Linked DNA regions of Macaca fascicularis. The main gene of each other region encodes a partner of the protein of the gene in region 2 in a complex. Links are inferred from orthologs where the notes say so. Each region holds a gene or a part of one and is shown on either strand. Other genes may lie near its edges. The genes, in order: NSMCE2, EID3, NSMCE3, NSMCE1 and SMC5.

Region 1 (3,380 bases), on a different chromosome or scaffold from region 2:
TCCCATGACCAACTTTCTTTCCTTCTCTTTTGCATCTTTAGTGTGGTTTGCATATTTGTTGTTTTTGGTCTTAATATCCTGTGCTTTATGGAGAGCTGTCTCAGATCACTGGGCCAGAGCTCTGTGTGGACAGGAACCATATATTTGTATTTCACAGTTGCATGCTTAGAACCTAGCACAGGACTGATCCCTAGAAGAATCAATTAATGCATGAATGGGTACATGCCTGTGTTGGATATATGCAAGGTAGAAATAGATCCAGAACTTTAAAACTTCTTGGAAGAATGATGATGAGGGAACACATGATAGTCACGGGATCAGGAAGGGAATTAACATCATTGAGCACTGTGTTGCCTGTCACCTTGGGAAATAGGGGTTCTCTCCCCATTTTAAATCAGAGGCAAGAGAGGCTCAAGAAGGTTATTGTGAATTGCCTGTGGTCTCATAACTAGCAAGTAGGTGGTAGAGAGAAAATTCAGACCTAGATTAGCTTGACTCCAAACATTGGGCCTCTAATCTACCAAAATTTGGTTCACTTTGAGAACCAGATTCTTTGAGAAGAAATAGGTGATGTCATCCAGCCCACTGCCCTCAGAGCAGATCACATGGAAGCAGAGCCGTGGCTTGTTTCCACCCCTTTCTGGGTGACTCACACTGGTGTCTTCAGCTGCAGCCTTTCCACTGAGTCTCAGTGGTCCACTCAGTCTCTTCTGGGAGAGCTACTGGGCATCCGTTCCAGAGGAAACAGATACCAACCAGGACTGTGGCTCTGTGCTGCAGCCTGTTTTGCCCCATCATTTCCCACTGTGATAAAGGGCACTACCAGTCACTGATCTGCCCAGATGAAGCTCGCTTCTTCCCTTTCCCTTACACTCCACAGCCGCTCCGTTGACAAGTCCTACAGGTTCTATGGTCAAGCGTGTCCTGAAGCTGATCGCCATGCCACCCTCGACCAAGCTGCCCTCACCTCTCTCCTGTACCCTGCGGGATCCCCCACGCTATTTTCCCTGCCCCTCTCTTACCTCCCTGCTTTGTGTTCTCCATAAGCAGCCAGAGTAACATTTTCCAGATGTAAACCAAACACACCCCTCCCCCATCTCAAAACCTTCCAGTGTTTTGTCTTCATATTTAAAATAAAATCCAATCTAGGCGGTGGCTCACACCTGTAATCCCAGTACTTTGGGAGGCCAAGGGAGGTGGATCACTTGAGGTCAGGAGTTTGAGACCAGCCTGGCCAACATGGTGAAACCCCGTGTCTACTGAAAATACACAAAATTAGCCAGGCATTGTGGCAGGCGCCTGTAATCCCAGCAACTCGGGAGGCTGAGGCAGGAGAATCACTTGAACCCAAGAGGCAGAGGTTGCAGTGAGCCAAGATCACGCCACTGCACTCCAGCCTGGGTGAAAGAGTGAGACTCTGTCTCAAAATAAATAAATTAAATTAAATAAAATCCAAAGCCCCATTGGCCCACTGACCTCACTTCCAACTGCTCTCCCTCTTGTCTGGGTCGCTTCAGCCACATAGAGCTTGCTCTCACTCCAGGGCACCAAGCTGGACGTCCTCAGCACTGTACTCGCTACTGCTTTAGCCCGGACCACATGCAGACTTGTTCCCATGCTTCATTCTGGGTCCTGCCCAAGATGAGATGTGTTTGGTGAGGCATGCCCTGAGTCCAGCCAAAGCAGCCATGGCCCCAGCACTGTCTCTTCTTGACCCTGCTTTGTTGCCCTCATAGCCCATAAGGTGACCTGAACTTACAGCAAGCATTTATTTGGTTCGCTAGTGGTAGCCTGTCTTTCTCATTAGAAAGTTAGCTCTTAATAAGATAGGCACTACTCACATATCGCTTGTGTCCCCAGCATCTGGACAGGACCTGGCTCAGGTAGGGACTCAGCAAATCAATGAATGAGGGCACCTTGGTCCTGACTTTAACACTTTTCCTTTTTCGTTAGAAGTCTTACTTAAACACTTGAGTGTAAAAGAAGTTTCTGCTTAAGGCAGTAAAGGGGACTGACTTGATGTTCTTTCTCCCTTGCAGTTGCCCTAAAATTGGCTGTAGCCACACGAATGTAAGAAAGTCGGATCTCATCCAGGATGAAGCACTTAGAAGGGCGATTGAGAACCACAACAAGAGAATACATCATTCCGAATAGGAAAAGCCACCTGCCCGCAGGGACACCAGCAGCCTACCTCCTACCTCAGCCGTCTGTTGAGAGCAGTGCTGGCCCCAGCAGTTAGGGACTGGCTGCATAGCATACTTGTTTGGGGTAAAACTTGATGCTTTTATGTGTGCTTGAAAACATTTTTCTAAGTTACACAACAGAAATGCAAGCATATTGTTTATTTTTAAGTGTTCTATAATGTTAAATAAAACTTTGATCATCTGCAGTGTCCTCCCTGCACGCCTCCTGATGTAGGGATTGTTCCAGAGGTGCAGGCTTTTCCATTTCAAGGACATCAGATTGATTTTTATAATAGTTTTGGCTAAAGAATGTTTTTCAGCCAGGTGCAGTGGCTCATACCTGTAATCCCAGCACTTTGGGAAGCCAAGGTGGGCAGATCACTTGAGGTCAGGAGTTCAAGACCAGCCTGGGCAACATGGTGACACTCCGTCTCTACCAAAAATACAAAAATTAGCCAGGTGTGGTGGTGCGCACCTGTAATCCTAGCTACTCAGGAGGCTGAGGCAGGAGAATCAGTTGAACCCAGGAGGTGGAGATTGCAATGAGCCGAGATCACACCACTGCACTCCAGCCTGAGCAACAGAGCAAGACTCTATCTCAAAATAAATAAATAAATAAATAAATAAATAAATAAAAAGAATGTCTTTCAAGTGATATTTGAAATTAAAACATATAAAAAAACACCCATTGCAAGGCATTTTCTGTAAGTATAGTAAATAATAGCATTTGGTTATAAAGCAAAGTCAGTTTACTTTCTTGTATTATATTGTATATTGACAGTTCCAAACATATAAATGCTTTTATTGTCATTCTGAATGGAATAGAATGCTCCAGTGACTGGCTAATCAGTGCATTGCAGTGATGATTGATGCCTGTAATGAAAACTTTGCTGCAGCCCTCCAAGAACCTAAAGTACCATCAACAGTAACGACATTCCAGCTGCTCTCTGTTTTTCTAGATGGCTTACTACAAGTGACTTTATCCCCCTGGGCATTAGTGTCTTCAGCCATAAAGTGAAGGTGTTCAACAAGATGTTCTCTGACCCCTGAGAGTCTATGGACTTACACCAGCAGGGTCTTTAAGTTGAATGTCTTCAATTATATTCTAATTGTGTAATGAGTACCAATCTATTGTCTCCATTAGCAACCTTTTATCAACCTTACTATTTAATTAAACAAAATTTGAAGCATACCCTG
Region 2 (5,011 bases):
TTAGCTGTATTTTCACCTAAGATTTAAAACAAGTTTAAATACTGGTTTGTAATTGGCCAGACTTGGGAAAGATATGATCCTTTAATGATCCTGGGTCTCAACTTACCTATCTCTCATTGTTTCTTTATTTCAGAAGAGGGATAAGAACTTTTTCTGAAGAGCAGTCAACTTTTCCTTTCAGTGTATAGGATTACTTCCACGAATCTGTGAACTTAATCTTTGCTGCCAAAAAACTTACAGTAGATGCTGGGACAGTTTTAAATCTATTTTAATTTATACATTCAGTACATAAGTGCATCCATGTAAAAACAGCTATGTTTGGAAGATGTAAAACCCAGCTTTTGTTTTTGAGAAGCCGACAATCTAATAGCATAGGATCATATATACGTACAACTAACCGTAATGCATGGTGTTTTGAAAAATGCATGTATTTCCCTGAATTACCCCTAGTTAATAAAATAATTGGGGGCAAATGGTAATATAAGGATTTTGGAGTAACTTAATACTACTAGATTTTGCTGTTTATGCATTTGCAAAAAACCTTCTGCTAATGCTAAATACGAACAAGTCTATCTGCATAAAGGATGGTAGGGCTAATTTACTTCCTGGTGCTGTGAAACTGGACAGGTGCAGTTGTGGGTGTCTTTTTTTTAAGGTGCACCTGCTGCAGGTTTGAAAAGCTGTTGATGCCCATGGTTTGGTTGTGTGCATGTTCTCTTTAAAAACCAGATGTATTAATTACAGTTGTTAAGTATACTTTGCTATTTGCTACTGGTGAGACAGATAAGCGGAGTCCTGTGGTTAACTGCACTTGAGTTTCCAGTGACCCCATTAAATCCAATGGGTAAATTTTCCAACGCAGATTAGTCACCCAGTTTACAGATTAAGCTTTCATATCCTTAGATTGTTTCTGAAATCTTCATAGCTTTGCTCACCTTTTAGGGTTCAGAGTTCTTACCCATTCAGTGTCGATGGCCGGCCTTTATATGTTGGCAAGCTTACAAGCAAATAGCTCTTTTGCAGAGATCTCTACCCATCATTCTATTCTTCCACTCCTGGATGGTGGAGAACCAAAGTTCACTTGAGTAATGCGAGCACTCAGTTTCCTGCAGGGGTTAGCACGCATACTGGAGGCTCCCCCGACCCCACAGATCTTCGGGATGGGGTGATGGAGGGGGTTTGGTTTTTAAAGAGGACCTGTGAAAGTAATTAACCCGATTTACATTTGTATAATAAGTCTAAACACCACCTTGCAAAAGAACTGAGAGTTCAGCCTGTTTAATGGAGTTTCTGCTTTTCACGGGCCTTGGCCTTACCGGCGGTTACAGTCCAGCCAGATTTAGTTCACAAAAAAACAAAACCCTCGGTCGACCTCACTGCGGTATATGATGGCAGCGATCGTTTTAAAGCGCAGGACCTTTAGTGTCCTCAACAGTTTTGTCTCAAGTTGTCCAAAAGTGTTTTTTTTAAAGTGAGGTGATCCAGTCGGTAAACGCTTTGAAAAAGAACAGCTGTGCCCTGAGCGGGCATAACTCGCGTTTGGGGTCGGGGCCCATTATTGCGCGTGTTCGGAGCGCGGCGCTTGCCTATGAGCGAGCGCCTCGGGTCGTGGTGCATCCGGGCCGGGGCGGGGCTGTCTTCCCGCGGAGCGTGCTGGGGGCGGGTCGCGCCGGGCCGGGCCGCTAATGCGCATGGGCGGGCGTCCGCGGCTCCAACTGCCGCCAGTTTCCACAAGCTGGGAGGGCCGTTACCTCGGAGATACCAGTGGCCGGCATGTCGGTTGAAAAAGCTTCCCGCAAGGGAGACGACGAGAAAGGAGAGGAGCAGCTCGTGCTCATCCCTAGTAGCGAGTACGCGGCGAAGCCGGCGGCGGCGGAGGGAGCGCCGATGAAGATGGATGTGGCGGTGAGGGTCACGGGCTGCTCCGACGACCTCAGCTCTGGGGATGCCGACATAGACCCAAAACTCCTGGAGCTCACCGCTGACGAGGAGAAGTGCCGCAGCATCCGCAGGCAGTACCGGCAGCTCATGTACTGCGTGCGGCAGAACCGGGAGGACATCGTGAACTCGGCGAACAACTCCTTGACCGAGGCTCTGGAGGAAGCCAACGTCCTGTTTGATGGAGTGAGCCGAACCAGAGAAGCAGCCCTCGACGCCCAGTTTCTTGTCATGGCTTCTGACTTGGGTAAAGAAAAGGCAAAGCAGTTAAACTCTGACCTGAACTTCTTTAATCAGTTAGCATTTTGTGACTTTCTGTTTCTGTTCGGGGGTCTGAATTGGATGGAAGGCGAGCCTGACGACTTGAGTGATTGTGATGATAACATAGCTCTTTCCTTCTGGAAGGCAATGGAAAAGGAAGCAACATCCTGGATGGTAAAAGCTGAGACATTCCATTTTGTTTTTGGTTCATTCAAACTAGAACCTTCTGCACCAAAGCCCCGACTTGAACACCAGAAAAAAGTTCGCAAGATGGAGGAAAATGGGAATATGCCTACAAAGTTGCGGAAGCTGGACCTGAGTAGTTATCCAGAAGCGACAGAAAAAAACGTAGAAAGGATTTTGGGATTGTTGCAAACCTACTTTCGAAAGTATCCTGATACTCCTGTGTCCTATTTTGAGTTTGTGATTGATCCAAACTCTTTTTCTCGTACTGTGGAGAATATATTTTATGTTTCTTTTATTGTAAGAGATGGTTTTGCAAGAATAAGGCTTGATGAAGACAGGCTGCCAATATTAGAGCCGATGAATGTTAACCAAATGGGTGAGGGAAATGATTCCAGTTGCCATGGTAGGAAACAGGGAGTCATATCTTTGACTTTACAGGAGTGGAAAAACATTGTGGCAGCTTTTGAAATTTCTGAGGCTATGATTACATACTCCTCATACTAAAGATTTCTTAGTATAGGATCCTTTTTGTGTGTTTTTCTGAAGTTATCTCAAATGGAGAGTCAAATGTAAACTGAAGCACATATTGTATGTCTTGTAAAGTGAAAAAGTATCTTCAAGAACATCAGACATTGTTTTACTGTGCAGCATATTTTTCTTAGTAATTTATAAGGTCATGATCTTCTCTTATTAAAAAAAATTCGTTGGCATATTTATGGGAGCGTTTTATTGAATGCCCTTTAAGACTATTAACAAAAACAAGTTTTGGATACCAAATTAAGGGATATTTGATAATTCGCAAAACATAATAATTTACGAAAATCAATTATGATGCTCTGTGATACATTGCTTTCTCTGTCATAGAGAACCAAGAGAATCCCAGAAAGAGTTCCTAACCACGTTGGGGAAAGAGTGGGTAAAAAACAAAAGTGGAAAAAAAAGCAAACAAACAACAACAACTTGTCTGTAAGGCAGTTAATATGCAACATTAAGAATAAAAAAGTCATTGCAAAGAAGACAGGATTTATGAGGGAGTATCCATATTCTCAACAGTTTCTGTTATTAGACTCAGCAAAAGTAGTGTCTCTGCTGTAGAAGTTGAGGTGTCAGCTAAGGGCTGAAAGTTGAGTAGAAACACGGAGAAGGAAAAGGCATTCTAGGCAGGAGAATAGCAAGGTCAAATGCATGGAATTGTTAGAAGTTAGGCACGAGAGGACCATTAGATTTATGGAAAAACTGTTCTATTTGATTGTTAAGCTGGGCAACAATTGAATAACTTCATCTATTAGTATCCTCAGAAGATATTTTTGTCTAACTATTATACGTTGAACACAAAATCTTTTGCTATCCAGTTGTAGTTTTTATCTACTGAATTTCTTCTCTGGCCCCTAGTGTCCCTTTGTGGTCTTTGTTAGTACATAGAATGTCCTTCAGAATCTGCACTGTTTCATCATGTAACAACTTTGAATATTTGTCCCACTTTAATTTTGCATTTTTATCTTTTTTTTTTCTTTGAGACAAGTGTCACTCTTGTTGCCCAGGCTGGGGTGCAGTGGAGCGATCTTGGCCCACTACAACCTCTGCCTCTGGGGTTCAGGCAATTCTTGTGCCTCAGCCTCCCAAGTAGCCGGGATTACAGGTGCGTGCCATCACACCTAGCAAATACCTGCCTCAGCCTCCCAAAGTGCTGGGATTACAAGTGTGAGCCAAATTTTGCATTTCTTAGTAGGGTTTTAAATGCCAGGAAACTGACCCTGCTTGAAACTAAAACATGTTAGTTTATCTAGATGTTCTTCACTTAGTGTAAAGCCATAAAGGCTTTTTTCTTTCTGTTGCTTGCAGTTGTTTTAAGAATATAAATTACAACCTTATTTGGAGATTATTGCCAAAAGTTTGGGTCATTAGGAAAACAACTTGAGAAGGTGCAGTAAGCATGCCCATAAACTTTCTTTCCTTTGATCCTTATAGGAGCTTAAGTTTTGGTAGTCGTGGAATTTTGCCATTAAACAATAATTTGGCAAATGTTTAGGCATCTGTTGTGCATAGCAGTGGCAAACTTTCCTAGTAAGTCTAGTAGTACAGGAAAGGGAAATCCAAAGACTCAACAAATGATACCAAGACTGAGAGGAAGGATCTTTCATGTATGGGGATGAGGTTCTTCACCAATAATACAGTAGTGGTTTTAGCAAAAATAGAACTTTCTTATGAAACTTGGCCAATTATTTTCTAAATTAGTTCCTCCTTTCACATACTAAAGAGCGCTCACCGTTGCTAGTGTCTAGTATCCTTTGATTTATAGTAGCAGTCATGGAAGTATCATTTGATCTCAGTAATCCTCATTTCCAGCATGTCTCTACCAACCAATTTCCTTGGGTTTTGCAGAGATCTGCTGTTGGAAGAAAAAGTACTCTTAATGACAGCAAACAGATCCCGCCCCGGTACTTTACTGACAATCAGTTGCTCTGTTGAATGCTTCGTGTCTTTACTAGGAGTATTTGACAGTGATGATTTAAAAGCATTAATAGATCATCTGGAGGCTTAGGAGAGGTAATTTTTTGGGTCTTCTCTAAAGCTAATAGCTGTTAAAATACGAAGTTGACCACTACTGTTTCTATTTGTACTGGTT
Region 3 (4,176 bases), on a different chromosome or scaffold from region 2:
GGTAGCCTGATTGGTGGACTGCTTGGTGACGTAAGTGAATACCTTAGCAAGAAACAGCATTGAAAAACCAGCCCAGTTGTTGACAATAGCTTTTATTTAATTTTCCACTTTCCCCTTATATCTTGGTCACCGAACTTTTTTGACTCAAGGTAGACCATCCACATCCTGTGGTAGGGACCTTTTGCAGAATTCTAGATGGCAGGAAGCTTTTATGAACCTAAGTCCAAATTTTAATTTGCAAGGAAACTGAAGCAGATGAATTTTCTCATTGTAAAAAAATGAATACCTTGATAATATATTTGTTTTTCGTAGTAGGCCTTTGTCATTAAGCTTGATGCCTGAGGATATAGTTGTATCTTGTGTGGAACAGTAAGTTATTACTCACTGCGTATCAGATTTTAGCATACTTGCATTAGTTCATGGAATATGATTTTACATTTACTATAGCAGTTCCAGTGCCATTATCAGATTGCATTTTCCTACTGAATTACAAACAAATGTGTTATGCTACTAACATTTAACAAAATTTTAATAAGGTTGTGTTTGATGCTATTATTCAGATAATGTGTTCTAAATTGCTTTCCTTTGAATATATTTGCATTAAAGAGGAACTCGATTTGGTTCTTTGAAGAGTTTATCCACTTTCTGGGTAGCTTTAAAAAGACACAGGGAAATTCAGTTTCTTCTTTGCAAGTCAATAAATAGAGAAGAAACAAATTTGCTAAGATCTGTAGAAGTAATGGCAGCAGATTGCTGATGGTTTGAGTTAATGAAATGACTCATTTTGGCTACTTGAGTTGCACAATTAAAATATACATAGACTGCACACATCATAGATGAGGGATAAATACCCCTGTGTTCTCTTTTCTTTCTCAAAGCTAATATATTATGAATTAAGAAATTTAAGAGATCCACATTATTGCAATTCTTGATCAGTGATGCCCAAAATTAAGTGGTAATCTCTTGAGAGTGCACGTTTGCAGCATTCCTCTTACGCATTTCTGCTAAAATTGTGGCTGTGAGCTGAAGGCAGTTGTTTTCCAAAGGATAAACTCATTTGACCAAGCTAAAACATTTACTTAATATTGACAAATTTTGTGGGGTTTTCTCATAGTTGTCTAGCTAAAGGAGTTTAATGCAGAGAATACACATACGGAAATAGTGAAACCGAAGTCCTGCTTGCGCGGAAAGCCTGCAGCAGACTTTTGTTTTTAACAAACTCCACGGGGCATTAGAGAAAGTAACTGGGGGCAGTGGGTTGGAGGGTATAAAATTGAGCGGAGGGACGAAAACTAAGAGCCCTCTGGGTTTTTTATATCCTTCTACATGTTGTGTAGAAATAAATGCTTTTACTTCCACGGTCGTACCTTCCTCTTCACCTTTTTTTTTTTCTTTCTCACACATTCATCCTGTGAGATCTTTTCATTTACAAATGCTCCCGATTTAGAATTAGAAACTCATAATACCGTCTGTAAAACTTGCCTGAGCCTGTCTGGTCCTGAATTTAGCGACACACTTGTTTAGGAGTTTCGGTTCTCGTTCTCTGCTTGCATGGTTTAGTAAGAACAACACTTCGCTATACTGAAATTCACCGACCAGACCTGCAGGGCTGCACAGAAATCTCGGATGCTTTTGGTACCCCCAGCCCCGCAGCCGCGCAGGCGCACCGCCCAGCCGCCGTGACGCAAGGCGCAGGCTTCATGACGCGGCACGCAGTCTCAGCCGACACTGCGCGCCCCTTCTGGGGCCCCGCCCAGGCAGCGGCCTTAGCGGGTCGCCGACCCGCGATCCCAGCCGCGGCTGCTTGCTTGCCGGAGTGTGCACCGGTACGCGTCGCCGGTGACATGTTGCAAAAACCGAGGAACCGGGGTCGCTCTGGCGGCCAGGCCGAGAGGGACAGCGACTGGAGCCGTGGCGGAAACTCCGGGGCCTCGCGGGCGGGCGAACACGCCCGGGCCCGCAGAGACGGCTTCGCAGAGGAGGCCCCGAGCACTTCCCGGGGGCCGGGCGGCTCGCAGGGGTCGCAGGGCGCCCGCCGGTCCCAGGCCTCCCCCGCCGTGGGCCCCAGGACCCAGAAGCAGCAGGAGCTGAAAGTGTCCGAGCTGGTGCAGTTCTTACTGATTAAGGACCAGAAGAAGATTCCGATCAAGCGGGCCGACATACTGAAGCACGTCATCGGGGACTACAAGGACATCTTCCCCGACCTCCTCAAACGGGCCGCCGAGCGCCTCCAGTACGTCTTCGGTTATAAGCTGGTGGAACTTGAACCCAAGAGCAACACTTACATCCTCATCAACACCCTGGAGCCGGTGGAGGAGGATGCCGAGGTGAGGGGTGACCAAGGCACGCCCACTACGGGCCTCCTGATGATCGTCCTGGGGCTCATCTTTATGAAGGGCAACACCGTCAAGGAGACTGAAGTCTGGGACTTTCTGCGGCGCTTAGGGGTCTACCCCACCAAGAAGCATTTCATTTTCGGAGATCCAAAGAAACTCATTACCGAGGACTTTGTGCGACAACGTTACCTGGAATACCGGCGGATACCCCACACCGACCCCGTGGACTACGAGTTCCAGTGGGGCCCGCGAACCAACCTGGAAACCAGCAAGATGAAAGTTCTTAAGTTTGTGGCCAAAGTCCATAATCAAGACCCCAAGGACTGGCCAGCGCAGTACTGTGAGGCGTTGGCAGATGAGGAGAACAGGGCCAGACCTCAGCCCAGTGGCTCAGCCCCATCCTCTTGAAATCTGAGGTGGATTCAGAGGGACCCCCGGGACAAGGGTCTGAGACCCAAAGGCACAGTGCAGAGGAGCGGGGGAAGGGAGAACGAACCCAGGAAGCGTATTTCTGTAGCGTTTCAATGTGTGTAGCTTTAGGATGTGTTTGCAAAGTTTTGTTCTTTTAATGTTGTGTTATTTGGTTCCAGATTTTCATCTATAAACAAAGGAGCATTTGTTTTGCTTTGATTTTACTTTTTTTGGTATAAAAAATTTTCCTAGCTTAGTAAAACGAATTGGAAAACTTGACTATGATCTGAAACAGATATGCCAGAAGGAACACATAAGTAAGTTGCTTTGGTGCCAAGAAAATAAAAAAGTAGCTATTATCGGGTCTCTTAAGCATCCCAGTTTGTAAGGAAAAATAAAAGTCTTTATAAAATTAAAAATAAAAACGTAATTGCCTATATCCTTATTACCTTAACCTATTTTATTTTTTCTATATTTCCTACATATGTAAGTATTATTCATGGTTCCAAGCAATGAACGTGGTGTATTTTCTCCAAATAGCAATTGTTTATATTCATAATTACTCAGCTGTGTTGCTAAACATGCAGTTCCACTTAGTTTTTTTTACATGCTACTCTAGTTATTACAATAAATACTGTATTTTTGAAGCACTGAAGCATTGTGTGTTTTTTAAATCGTGGGCCATGAGACAATTTCATGACGAAATCAGCGTCTTAAAGTTTTTGCAACATATTGAGGTCAATGTTGTTTTGTAGAAGTTGTTTTACTTTTGTGTGTGTGTGTACAGGATCATGAGGTAAAATATATTTCTACTGTGGATACCAAAAAGGCTTATAAAACAATAGCGTAACCATTAACCATGCCTGCTTGGGAATCAGACTGCCTGGGTTCAGATCCTGGCCCCACCGTCACTAGTATAGGAATTTACGTAGGTTCCTTAGTTTGTATGCAGATGTTTCTTGACCTGTAAAATGGGTTTAGTCCCTGATGTGGAGGAATTTGCTTGTTATTCTTTAATGTTTTTATTTTTTATTCTCGGTCTGGAGCTGCCACTTTTTAAATACAACTTTTCTTTATCTTGTTTTCCAAATGATTCCTAGGAGAGCAATTACTGGTTCAAAAGGTATATTCCGCTAGTCTGACTCTATTGTATGGGGAAATAAGTATAAAGTGTATGGTGAGTATAGCCCACATAGAACAGTGAGAGCAGGACATAAGATCAACCTCGTAGGGAGTTAGGTATAGGGAAAAGGTGTGGGTCTTGGGGCTGTCTGGCAAACTGAATTTGAATTACGGCTCATGCTAACTTGTCAGCATGGTGATATGGTGGTAGGTTTTAAGCTGTCTGAATCTCAGTTTCTTTACCTGTAAAATGAAAAAAAATTATAGCTATATAATAGTTTGTTTTATGGACTAGATGAACTAGAAG
Region 4 (4,753 bases), on a different chromosome or scaffold from region 2:
CATACATTATATTCATTAGAGATACGAACATACATCGCAAAAACTACAAAGCAAAACAAAGGAACAAGTAACACAATATTCAGAGTGGTAGTTATCTTTGAGGAGGGAAGAAAGGATTCAGTGGGGGGTTTGGGGATCTGAAAATGTCTATTTCTTAACTTGGTGGCAGGTACATGAGCGTTCATTTCATTTTTGTCCTTCAAACTTATACTTCCACACAATTGTATAGGTATGTTACATACAATGTTTTTAAATGTGATGGGCCGGGCATGGTGATTCACACCTGTAATCTCAATACTTTGGGAGGTCAAGGTGGGGGGACTGCTTGAGACCAGGACTTTAGGACCAGCCTAGGCAACATAGCAAGATCCACTCTCCACAAAAAAAAAAAAAAAGTAACATGAATATGTTAAATAACAGCCAAAATAAATGTAAATGAGAATGAGAACAAGATACGATTGAATGCTATGATTTGGTGGAAAAGGGGCGGGAAAGTAGGAGTGGAAGAAAGACAACCATAAGTTTGTTTATGCATATTGTATCCCTTGTCTCTATGAGAAGAGACTGTGGAGAGAATGGTGGGATTAGCCATAGACATACATGTATCACCTACTTAAATAATTCTATTTTATACAAAAATTAGCCAGGCATGGTGGTGCACGCCTGTAATCCCAGCTGCTCAGGAGGCTGAGGCAGGAGAATCGCTTGAACCCAGGAGCTGGAGGTTGCAGTGAGCCAAGATCGCGCCACTGCACTCCAGCCTGGGTGACAGGGTGAGACTCCATCACAAAAAAAAATATATATATATATATATATATTTGTATTAATTAAAAGTTTATTGGCTTTAAATGTACATCAGTAAATTTTTAAATGCTAAGAATTTATGATAAAAGAATACCGAACCAAAACATCAAAGAAAATAGAGGCTCAGCAGCATGATTTCAATATATTTTCCTGGATAAACATTTATTTTTTTTAAGTCTATGCCTTTTTATTTAAGAACAAAAACTCCCTAAATTCAACGTTTAGAATTGAATTTTTTTTTTTAACTAAGCCCAGAAAAATGGGGCTCATAAAATAAAGGCACAATGTGGGCAGCAAAAGAAAAAAGGAGAAAAAATGGGAGAAAAATTGGTTTTAATCCCATGTATAACATATTGTCTTGTTTTGTTTTTGTTTTAGACAATTTAAGGCAGAATTATCTCTCTGCAACCCTGCAGATAAATCCTAGTATTTTAGCTTTAAGTTTCAAGAGTTCAGATATACAGATAAACCAACTAAAGAAAACCTTTTCTAAGGCTTTGAAGCATTATATAAATCTTTAAAATTCCTATCACCCACATTTTAAGAAATACATCTATACTTTTAATTAATTAATGCATTTAATTCATTTAATAATAAATTTATTTAAATTTAATAATTTTGAAATATAAATGTTTGTGGAATAAGTAAATCTCAGTCATACCATTCGTGCAGGTGCTAACACAATTCTTGTGCTTCACATGCACGACATCATTTAACCCCAACCAGCACCTTATGAGCAAAGGATCACTGACCCCATCTTACAGATGAGGAAACTGAGACTAAAAGGGCACAAGGTGACACACAAGAGTTGGTGGCAGAGAGAGACGTGACCATACAACAGCACGGTTCCTGTTCTCAAAGACACTCTCTTATCCAGCGAGAGTGAGAAAAGTGAGTGAACAGAACAGCTACAATCCAGGTCCCTCATCTGCAACCCTCAAATCTAAAAAGGTATGAATACTAGTGGATGATCGGACGCAGGGGAAAAAAAAAGTCTGAATACCAAAACTTGTTTCTTACGTTGGAGAACTTGACCTGACTTAAGGTGGGGCTATCCATGGTTATTTATCCCAACAGTGTAAATATATGCATATCTTTTTTTTTTTTCAGACGGAGTTTCGCTCTTGTTGCCCCAACTGGAGTGAAGTGGCGCGATCCTGACTCACTACAACCTTCGCCTCCCTCGTTCAAGTGATTCTCCTGCCTCAGCCTCCCGCCTCAGCCTCCCGAGTAGCTGGTAGTACAGGCACGCGCCACCACGCCCGGCTAATTTTTTGTATTTTTAGTACAGGCGGGGTTTCACCATGTTAGCCAGGCTGGTCTGGAACTCCGGACCTCAGGTGATTCGCCCGCCTCAGCCTCCCAAAGTGCTGGGATTACAGGCCTGAGCCACCGCGACCCGGTCAATATAATATATGCATATCTTCATATCTTTAGCTGTGGAAAGGGTCGTGTATTTGATTGCAAGCCGCTGCTCCAGCCCCCACTGAGGGTGAAACCTAACATAGAACATACGCACTTTACCTTTCCAAAGTCCGAGAAATCCTCGATTTTAAACGCATCTGGCCTCGGGGCTGTAACACAAGCGGCTGCGGACTTGTACAAAGTGAGAAACTCCGTACACAAAAACAGAGGGGAGCACGGAGGGCGGCGGGACAGACAGGGTGGTCGGCGAAGGCTGTGTTTTCCATAGATGTAATCACAGTTTGAATCGAATTTTATATTTTGCTTTTTCACCTATTACGATGAAAAGTATCCTTACCTGTTAAATCGTAATTACGATTAAAAATATTTTTCACTAAATAGTACGATTTTTAGATGTCTTTGTGTGTGTTGTGGGAGGAGATCCCAGTCCGCTGCCTTCTGCGGCCCCTCTCTGGGCCTCAGTTTCCCCATCAAGAAGGGGGAGCCCCAAGACCCCCGTCCCCGAGTTCCACAGCCCACGAGGATAGACCACGGGGCCAGACCCCACTGCCTGTCTCGCCCACCCCACCTTCCGTCCTCCCCTCGCCTTCCTCGAAGTCCCTCTTCTTTCCCCTCTACCCCCTAGCGCGCCGCGTTACCCACCAGGGTGCCCAAGCGCAACCCGCGCTGCGCTAGCGGATACGGTCGCAAGGCGGACTCTTCTTCCTTTGGGGCGGGGCGAACGCGAACGCGGCGTTCCCGTTGGTGGCCTGCAAACGATTCGCCCGTCCGTTGGGTGACGCACTTCCGGCTTTCCGTTTGCGCCGTTTCCCTAGTGTTTCCGCCTCGTGGGTTAGATCCCAATTACTGCGCCGCTCTCCATCCTTAATAATGGGAAGGGGCTTCCACTTGTCGCCCTCCGCCTCCTGCACCTCAGTGACTTCCCTGACCAAGGAGGAAGAATCGGCGCGCAGCCCGTGCTTCCCCCACTGGCCACGATTCCGCCGGCACAATGTAGTGCCCTGCCCCGGGCCTCAGTTTCCCCATCTGTGGAACTGACAGTGTGGCCTCGTCGTCAAAAATGTGGACTCTGGCCGGGCGCGGTGGCTCATGCCTGTAGGCCCAGCACTTTGGGAGACCAAGGCGGGCCGATCACTTGAGTTCAGGAGTTCGAGACCAACTTTGCCAACATGGTGAAACCCCCGTCACTACTAAAAGTACAAAAATTAGCTGGGCGTGGTGGTGTGTGCCTGTAATCCCAGCTACTCGGGAGGCTGAGGCAGGAGAATTGCTTGAACCCGAGAGGCAGAGGTTGCAGTAAGCCAGATTGCATCACAGCACTCGAGCCTGGGTGACAGAGCAAGACTTAGTCTCATAAAAAACAAAAGAAAAATGTGGACTCTGTGGTCATACAGCCTGAGCTAGAATCCTGGCTCTGCCACTTACTAGTTGGCAGAAGCTTGGGCAAGTCATTGAGCCTCAGTTTCCTCTTCCATTAAATGGGGATATTAGTCCTTGCAAAATAGTGTTGGTGAGATTTAGGTGCTTAGCATAGCCACTGAAAAGTGTCACATGGGAGTGCTGATTAAATGTTAACTATTATCTTACCTAGGGATTGTGAGAAAGCAAGTGAAATTACTCTTGGAAGTGAATAGACTGTTTTGAATCTTCAAGGCATTAATTTTCCAAACGTTTGTATACTATCCCTAGTCTGAGAGCTAGGGATGCAGCCTAGCAAGGGAAACAGGTAACTAATATAGAACAGCGGTACCTGCAAATGTCTGTCTCTGTGAGGATAACTCAAATACAGGCTTGGTCACTCACCACCCCTGTGATCTTGGACAACCTTTTTTTTTTTTTTTTTTTGAGACGGAGTCTCGCTCTGACCCCCAGGCTGTAATGCAGTGGCGCCATCTCGGCTCACTGCAAGCTCCGCCTCCCGGGCACACGCCATTCTCCTGCCTCAGCCTCCCAAGTAGCTGGGACTACGGGCGCCCACCACCACGCCTGGCTAATTTTTGTATTTTTAGTAGAGATGGGGTTTCACCGTGTTAGCCAGAATGGTCTCCATCTCCTGACCTCGTGATCCGCCCGCCTCGGCTTCCCAAAGTGCTGGGATTACAGGCGTGAGCCACCGCGCCCGGCCTGATGTTGGACAACTTCTTAACCTCTCTGGGCTTCAGTTTCATCTGCCAAGTGGGAAAGCAGTAGTGTGTGGTGATTAAAACCTCGAGCTTTGGAGCTGGATGGTCAACATAGAATCCTGGGCCTTAAACTCAGTATCTCCAAGACACAGGACAAAGTATAGTAAGCCATCCCTGTTTATAGGTTCCCCATCTACGGATGGATAATATTTGTGGAGGAAAAACAATAAAAATAACAATACAAAAATAAAAATAATACAAATTCTGAAAGCAATACAGCATAGCAACTACTTATATAGCATTTACATTGTATTAAGTAGTGTAAGTAATTTAAAGATGACTTTCAATATACTGGAGGATTTGCGTAGGTTATATGCAAATATTCTGCCATTTTGTATGCG
Region 5 (4,255 bases), on a different chromosome or scaffold from region 2:
GCAGACTCTTCCTCAAGAATACCAGACAGTAAGTATAAAAAGTATATAATGCTACAATTGCCATATTTAACATATTTTTAAGATTATAGGATCTTAAGCATTGTAACAGGCCATGAAAAATATGATGTGTCATAAAAAATAGGGAGTTTTTCCACATTTTTAAACTGAATAGATATATAAAATAATGTTGCTTAACAGATCAATGTTATTGGTACTATAACATTTATTCTTCCAATACAAATGCCTTTTAATGGGTACAGTTGGAACATACAGTTTTCCATGGAAATATTGTGCCAGTAATTGGTATATCAGAAATAACAAATAGGACATTTTAAAAATAAAGGGAAAATGAAAATGTTTCCCCGGAAATTGGGGTGTTTAATTAGGGTTCAATGGGAGCTGAATATTTAGGACTAACATCTGCCAATAAGAAAAGGAAAAAAAGAGGTCTTACTTCCATTATATGTTTTATGCTGACATACCACTCAGTAAAATTAGGAGATGCTGCCCTTTAGTCACATCCCACTGTTAATTTACATACCTCTGTGACAAGTGGGGATGATACTTTGCCTGCATACCTATTCAGAATAATGTCAAAATGAAATTATAAAATAAATTTTAAAATATCTAGTATTGGTGTGTCTTTTTAAAATTCTTAATTTCAAATGTTATCTATTTCAATAGATAATGAAATGACTACTAAAGATATAAACAACTGGAAAAAAATTAATGGATTATAATTTTCAAATCCTCAACTGATTTATTTTATGATATCAGACACAGAATCACAGAGAATGGATTCGACTATTTGGATACATACTAGGAACTCAGTAGATATCTTTAAAACAAATTGAGAAGCTTATTTCTAAAAACAGTAGAATATCTTCAGAATACATTGTGTTGTTATAAAATAAATATAAGTACAATCTGTACTAATTTTTTCTTTCAGAAAAAGCATGATTCTGTTCTTGATAAGTCATACTGTTTTTGAATCAAAATTAGAAGATGATTAATCATTAAAATGTATTAATTACCTCCTATATGGCAAGCATTGAACAAGACAGACATACTTCCATCTCAGCTGAAACTTATATTCTAGTCTGGAAGATTAGGTAGATGAAAACACAAATCAAAAATCAGATAATGTCAGATAACAAGAAATGCTAAGAAAAATAAAACAGGGTGAGGAGATGGAGTGACATGGATGGGAACTTGGTAAGGGAAGCCTCCTTTGAAAAGATACCATTTTATAACAGTCCTGAATGAAGAGAACAGATCAGTCAAGTGAAGATGTGAGGGAAAAGTATTCCAGACAGAGAAAACAACTTAGACAAAGCCCAGAACAGAAGTATGTTTGGGACATTTCAGAATAAAAGGAATCTCATTGGGGTTAAAAATTATCCAAGCAGAGAAGAAGGCAGAGGCCAAGATTATGTAGGGCTTTTAGACCATACAAGGAATTAAGGTTGTATTCTTTTGGGATGGACTCCAGTGGAGGATCTTAAACAGAAAAGTGACATTACTACTTTTATGAAAGAGCACTCTTAACTTCTGTTCTTCTAGATGGAGGATAAAGTAGGGATACAAGAATGGAAGCAATGAAACCATTTAGGAGGTCATTTCTTTGGACCACGCAAGAGATATATAATGGCATGAATTAGGGTGATAGCACTGAAGAGAGAGAGGGAGAAGTTGACAGATCTTAGATATCTTTTAGTGACAGAGCCAGCAAGACTTGCTGATGGATTTGACATGAAGGATAAGAGAGAGAACCCCTAAATTTTTCACCCGAACAAATTACGGTGCTATTTACTGGAATGGAGAAGATTGAAGGAGAAACAGGGTTGCTTGAAGTGGTAGGTAAGGTGGGTGAAATCCAGATTCTGTTTCACCATCTTAAATTTAAGATGCCTGTTAGAGTCAAGTGAGGATATCGAGTAAATAAATGTTGGACACATGAGCTTAAATCTCAGTGAGTACGTCAGAGATTCAACAAAGGAATATTTGAAGGTCTATAGAAGTTGAACTGCTTTCTAAGAGGTTAAAATAATAAGCTGAAGATATTAGATTAATATGTCAAGATCTTTTTCAGGGTTTCAGGATTCATTTTGTACCATGTAGTATACAGCCTTTGCAGGTCGTGCTAAGTCAAACAATGTAATTGTTTGCCTCCCCTCAAAAAAAAAAGTGTCTGTTCTAATTTGTCCCCATGGCATGGACTCAGAAGATAGTACCGTGGTGAAATTCAACTGTCAAAGTAATTAGATACTAAGGATGCTTTTTTAGTTCTTCATAAGTGCAGTATAAAGTTCTAACTTCTTGCTCTCTTTCAATGCCCCACATATTCTGGACCCATTCTACCAATTCAGCAAGTACCCACCATTCCAAATGGACACAACTCCTCACTCCCCATGGTATGCAGTACTCATTCTTTTTTCCCAAGCTCCTGTCTTCCCTCTGCCTTGCTCCTCCCTAGCCATTTGCTTTAAGGCCCAGAGATGAATTCTAGGCCTTTGGATTCTCTTAACTCTCCTATAGCATGAACTGATACTTCTTTTCTCTAAATTCCCTAGCCTATAAGATATGTACTGCTTGTTTGAATACTCAACATCAATACGTTGCCTTAAGGTGTTATCCAGTACATACATTTTGTTTTCTTTAAAATACAAACTTTCGAAGGCAAATGACCCTGTTTATTATTCCTTTGTATCCTTGTGTACCAGCATGCTGTAGAACAGATAGTAGATAACTTATTCAGCAGATTATTTTTCTTTTAACTATTTGAATGGAACCGTTTTCATTGTATCTATAATGATGGGCAATTTTTTTCTTTAGGTTTTCCAAGACCTTCCAAACACATTGGATGAAATTGATGCTTTATTAACTGAAGAAAGATCAAGAGCTTCCTGCTTCACGGGACTGAATCCTACAGTATGCCTGTTTCTCTACTCCCATTCTGCATCCAGCCACCACCACCACCACCCTCCCCATACACACACATACACACACAGAGTTCCCTCCAGTACTTGCCTCCCACTCTGTACTAGAGCTCTTGGTAATGATAAGCTAGACAGCAGGAACAATGTGCTTTAAATGCCAGATTCTGAATCTATTAGAATTTTAAATAGATTCTTCCTAAGGAACACAATGTTCTGTGCCTTTTCTTTATAAAAAGAATAGTCGGGCTAACCTGAAATACTGCAATGTCTAGTTTTTCAAGGATAAAAAATGTCACTTTCAGTATGTAATAAGAACATAAATTATTTGCATACAAACAATACAGCACAATTGCCATTTTCAGTTAATGTTTTAATCAATGCAAAATTGTATATACTTTTATACTTTGGTAGATTTATCTTAAAGAAGTTTTTTTTTCCCCCTGCCAGATTGTTCAGGAGTATACAAAAAGAGAAGAAGAAATAGAGCAGTTAACTGAGGAACTAAAGGGAAAGAAAGTTGAACTAGATCAATACAGGGAAAACATTTCACAGGTAATTTTTTTAGTTTTTAATCTTTACTTTTTATCATGTGATTATTAATGAAATGGGAATGTAGAATAATGGAAAATGAGATGACATGCTTAAGAGAAGTGTGTTATGCCCAGACTGATACTGATATAAAATTTACGTGAAATTTTGTGTCACAATATAGTAATACTGCTTTTAAATTATGTTTTTATATTGTGTTTATTTGTAGGTAAAAGAAAGGTGGCTTAATCCTTTAAAAGAGCTGGTAGAAAAAATTAATGAAAAATTCAGCAATTTTTTTAGTTCTATGCAGTGTGCTGGTGAAGTTGATCTCCATACAGAAAATGAGGTAAAATTGCATTTGAAATATATTTCTGGCAAGTAATTTTAATTATATGCTTAAAGTACATATAAATTATTTATTTACTTTAGAGTTATATCTGTGAAAAGTTTTGTTTACCAAAATGTTGAAAGAAAGGAGAAAATCACCTATGGGATTCTATTAGGGTCACTTTTTTTGGTGGGGGGTGATGTTTGGAATTAGTAACTAATACCTTGTAACTCTTTTTATACAATCTGAGTAATGGTTATTCAGTTGTATTGAATAAATATGTTACTTTATAAAGCTACCACAACTGGAGTTAGAAGACTCATAAACAGATTAGTTTGAAATATAGTATATATCAGTGTCTTTTTTTAATAATTTAAGAATTCATGGTTGGGTGTGGTGGCTCACGCCTGTAATCCCCAGCACTTTGTGAGGCCGAGGCAGGCAGATAGCTTGAGCT

Evidence for each region.
Region 1: EID3 (region 2) and NSMCE2 share a complex: the UniProt entries of both Homo sapiens proteins name them as parts of the SMC5-SMC6 complex. The link is inferred for Macaca fascicularis from reciprocal best matches to the Homo sapiens genes EID3 and NSMCE2.
Region 3: EID3 (region 2) and NSMCE3 share a complex: the UniProt entries of both Homo sapiens proteins name them as parts of the SMC5-SMC6 complex. The link is inferred for Macaca fascicularis from reciprocal best matches to the Homo sapiens genes EID3 and NSMCE3.
Region 4: EID3 (region 2) and NSMCE1 share a complex: the UniProt entries of both Homo sapiens proteins name them as parts of the SMC5-SMC6 complex. The link is inferred for Macaca fascicularis from reciprocal best matches to the Homo sapiens genes EID3 and NSMCE1.
Region 5: EID3 (region 2) and SMC5 share a complex: the UniProt entries of both Homo sapiens proteins name them as parts of the SMC5-SMC6 complex. The link is inferred for Macaca fascicularis from reciprocal best matches to the Homo sapiens genes EID3 and SMC5.

Annotation. Positions count from the first base shown.
Region 1 is NC_088382.1:135,022,840-135,026,219, forward strand, and holds the end of NSMCE2 (E3 SUMO-protein ligase NSE2), read left to right. Parts: intron 1-2,039; coding exon 2,040-2,154; 3' UTR 2,155-2,389; downstream 2,390-3,380. UniProt on the Homo sapiens protein: E3 SUMO-protein ligase component of the SMC5-SMC6 complex, a complex involved in DNA double-strand break repair by homologous recombination. Is not be required for the stability of the complex.
Region 2 is NC_088385.1:111,236,328-111,241,338, forward strand, and holds the start of EID3 (EP300-interacting inhibitor of differentiation 3), read left to right. Parts: upstream 1-1,691; 5' UTR 1,692-1,773; coding exon 1,774-2,889; 3' UTR 2,890-5,011. UniProt on the Homo sapiens protein: Tissue-specific component of the SMC5-SMC6 complex, a complex involved in repair of DNA double-strand breaks by homologous recombination.
Region 3 is NC_088381.1:8,206,816-8,210,991, forward strand, and holds NSMCE3 (non-structural maintenance of chromosomes element 3 homolog), read left to right. Parts: upstream 1-1,730; 5' UTR 1,731-1,844; coding exon 1,845-2,744; 3' UTR 2,745-3,394; downstream 3,395-4,176. UniProt on the Homo sapiens protein: Component of the SMC5-SMC6 complex, a complex involved in repair of DNA double-strand breaks by homologous recombination. The complex may promote sister chromatid homologous recombination by recruiting the SMC1-SMC3 cohesin complex to double-strand breaks.
Region 4 is NC_088394.1:26,348,454-26,353,206, forward strand, and holds the start of NSMCE1 (non-structural maintenance of chromosomes element 1 homolog), read right to left. Parts: upstream 2,939-4,753; 5' UTR 2,329-2,938; intron 1-2,328. UniProt on the Homo sapiens protein: RING-type zinc finger-containing E3 ubiquitin ligase that assembles with melanoma antigen protein (MAGE) to catalyze the direct transfer of ubiquitin from E2 ubiquitin-conjugating enzyme to a specific substrate.
Region 5 is NC_088389.1:101,048,209-101,052,463, forward strand, and holds part of SMC5 (structural maintenance of chromosomes protein 5), read left to right. Parts: coding exon 1-28; intron 29-2,343; exon of another isoform or gene 2,344-2,369; coding exon 2,370-2,414; intron 2,415-2,835; coding exon 2,836-2,931; intron 2,932-3,386; coding exon 3,387-3,491; exon of another isoform or gene 3,492-3,495; intron 3,496-3,696; coding exon 3,697-3,816; intron 3,817-4,255. UniProt on the Homo sapiens protein: Core component of the SMC5-SMC6 complex, a complex involved in repair of DNA double-strand breaks by homologous recombination.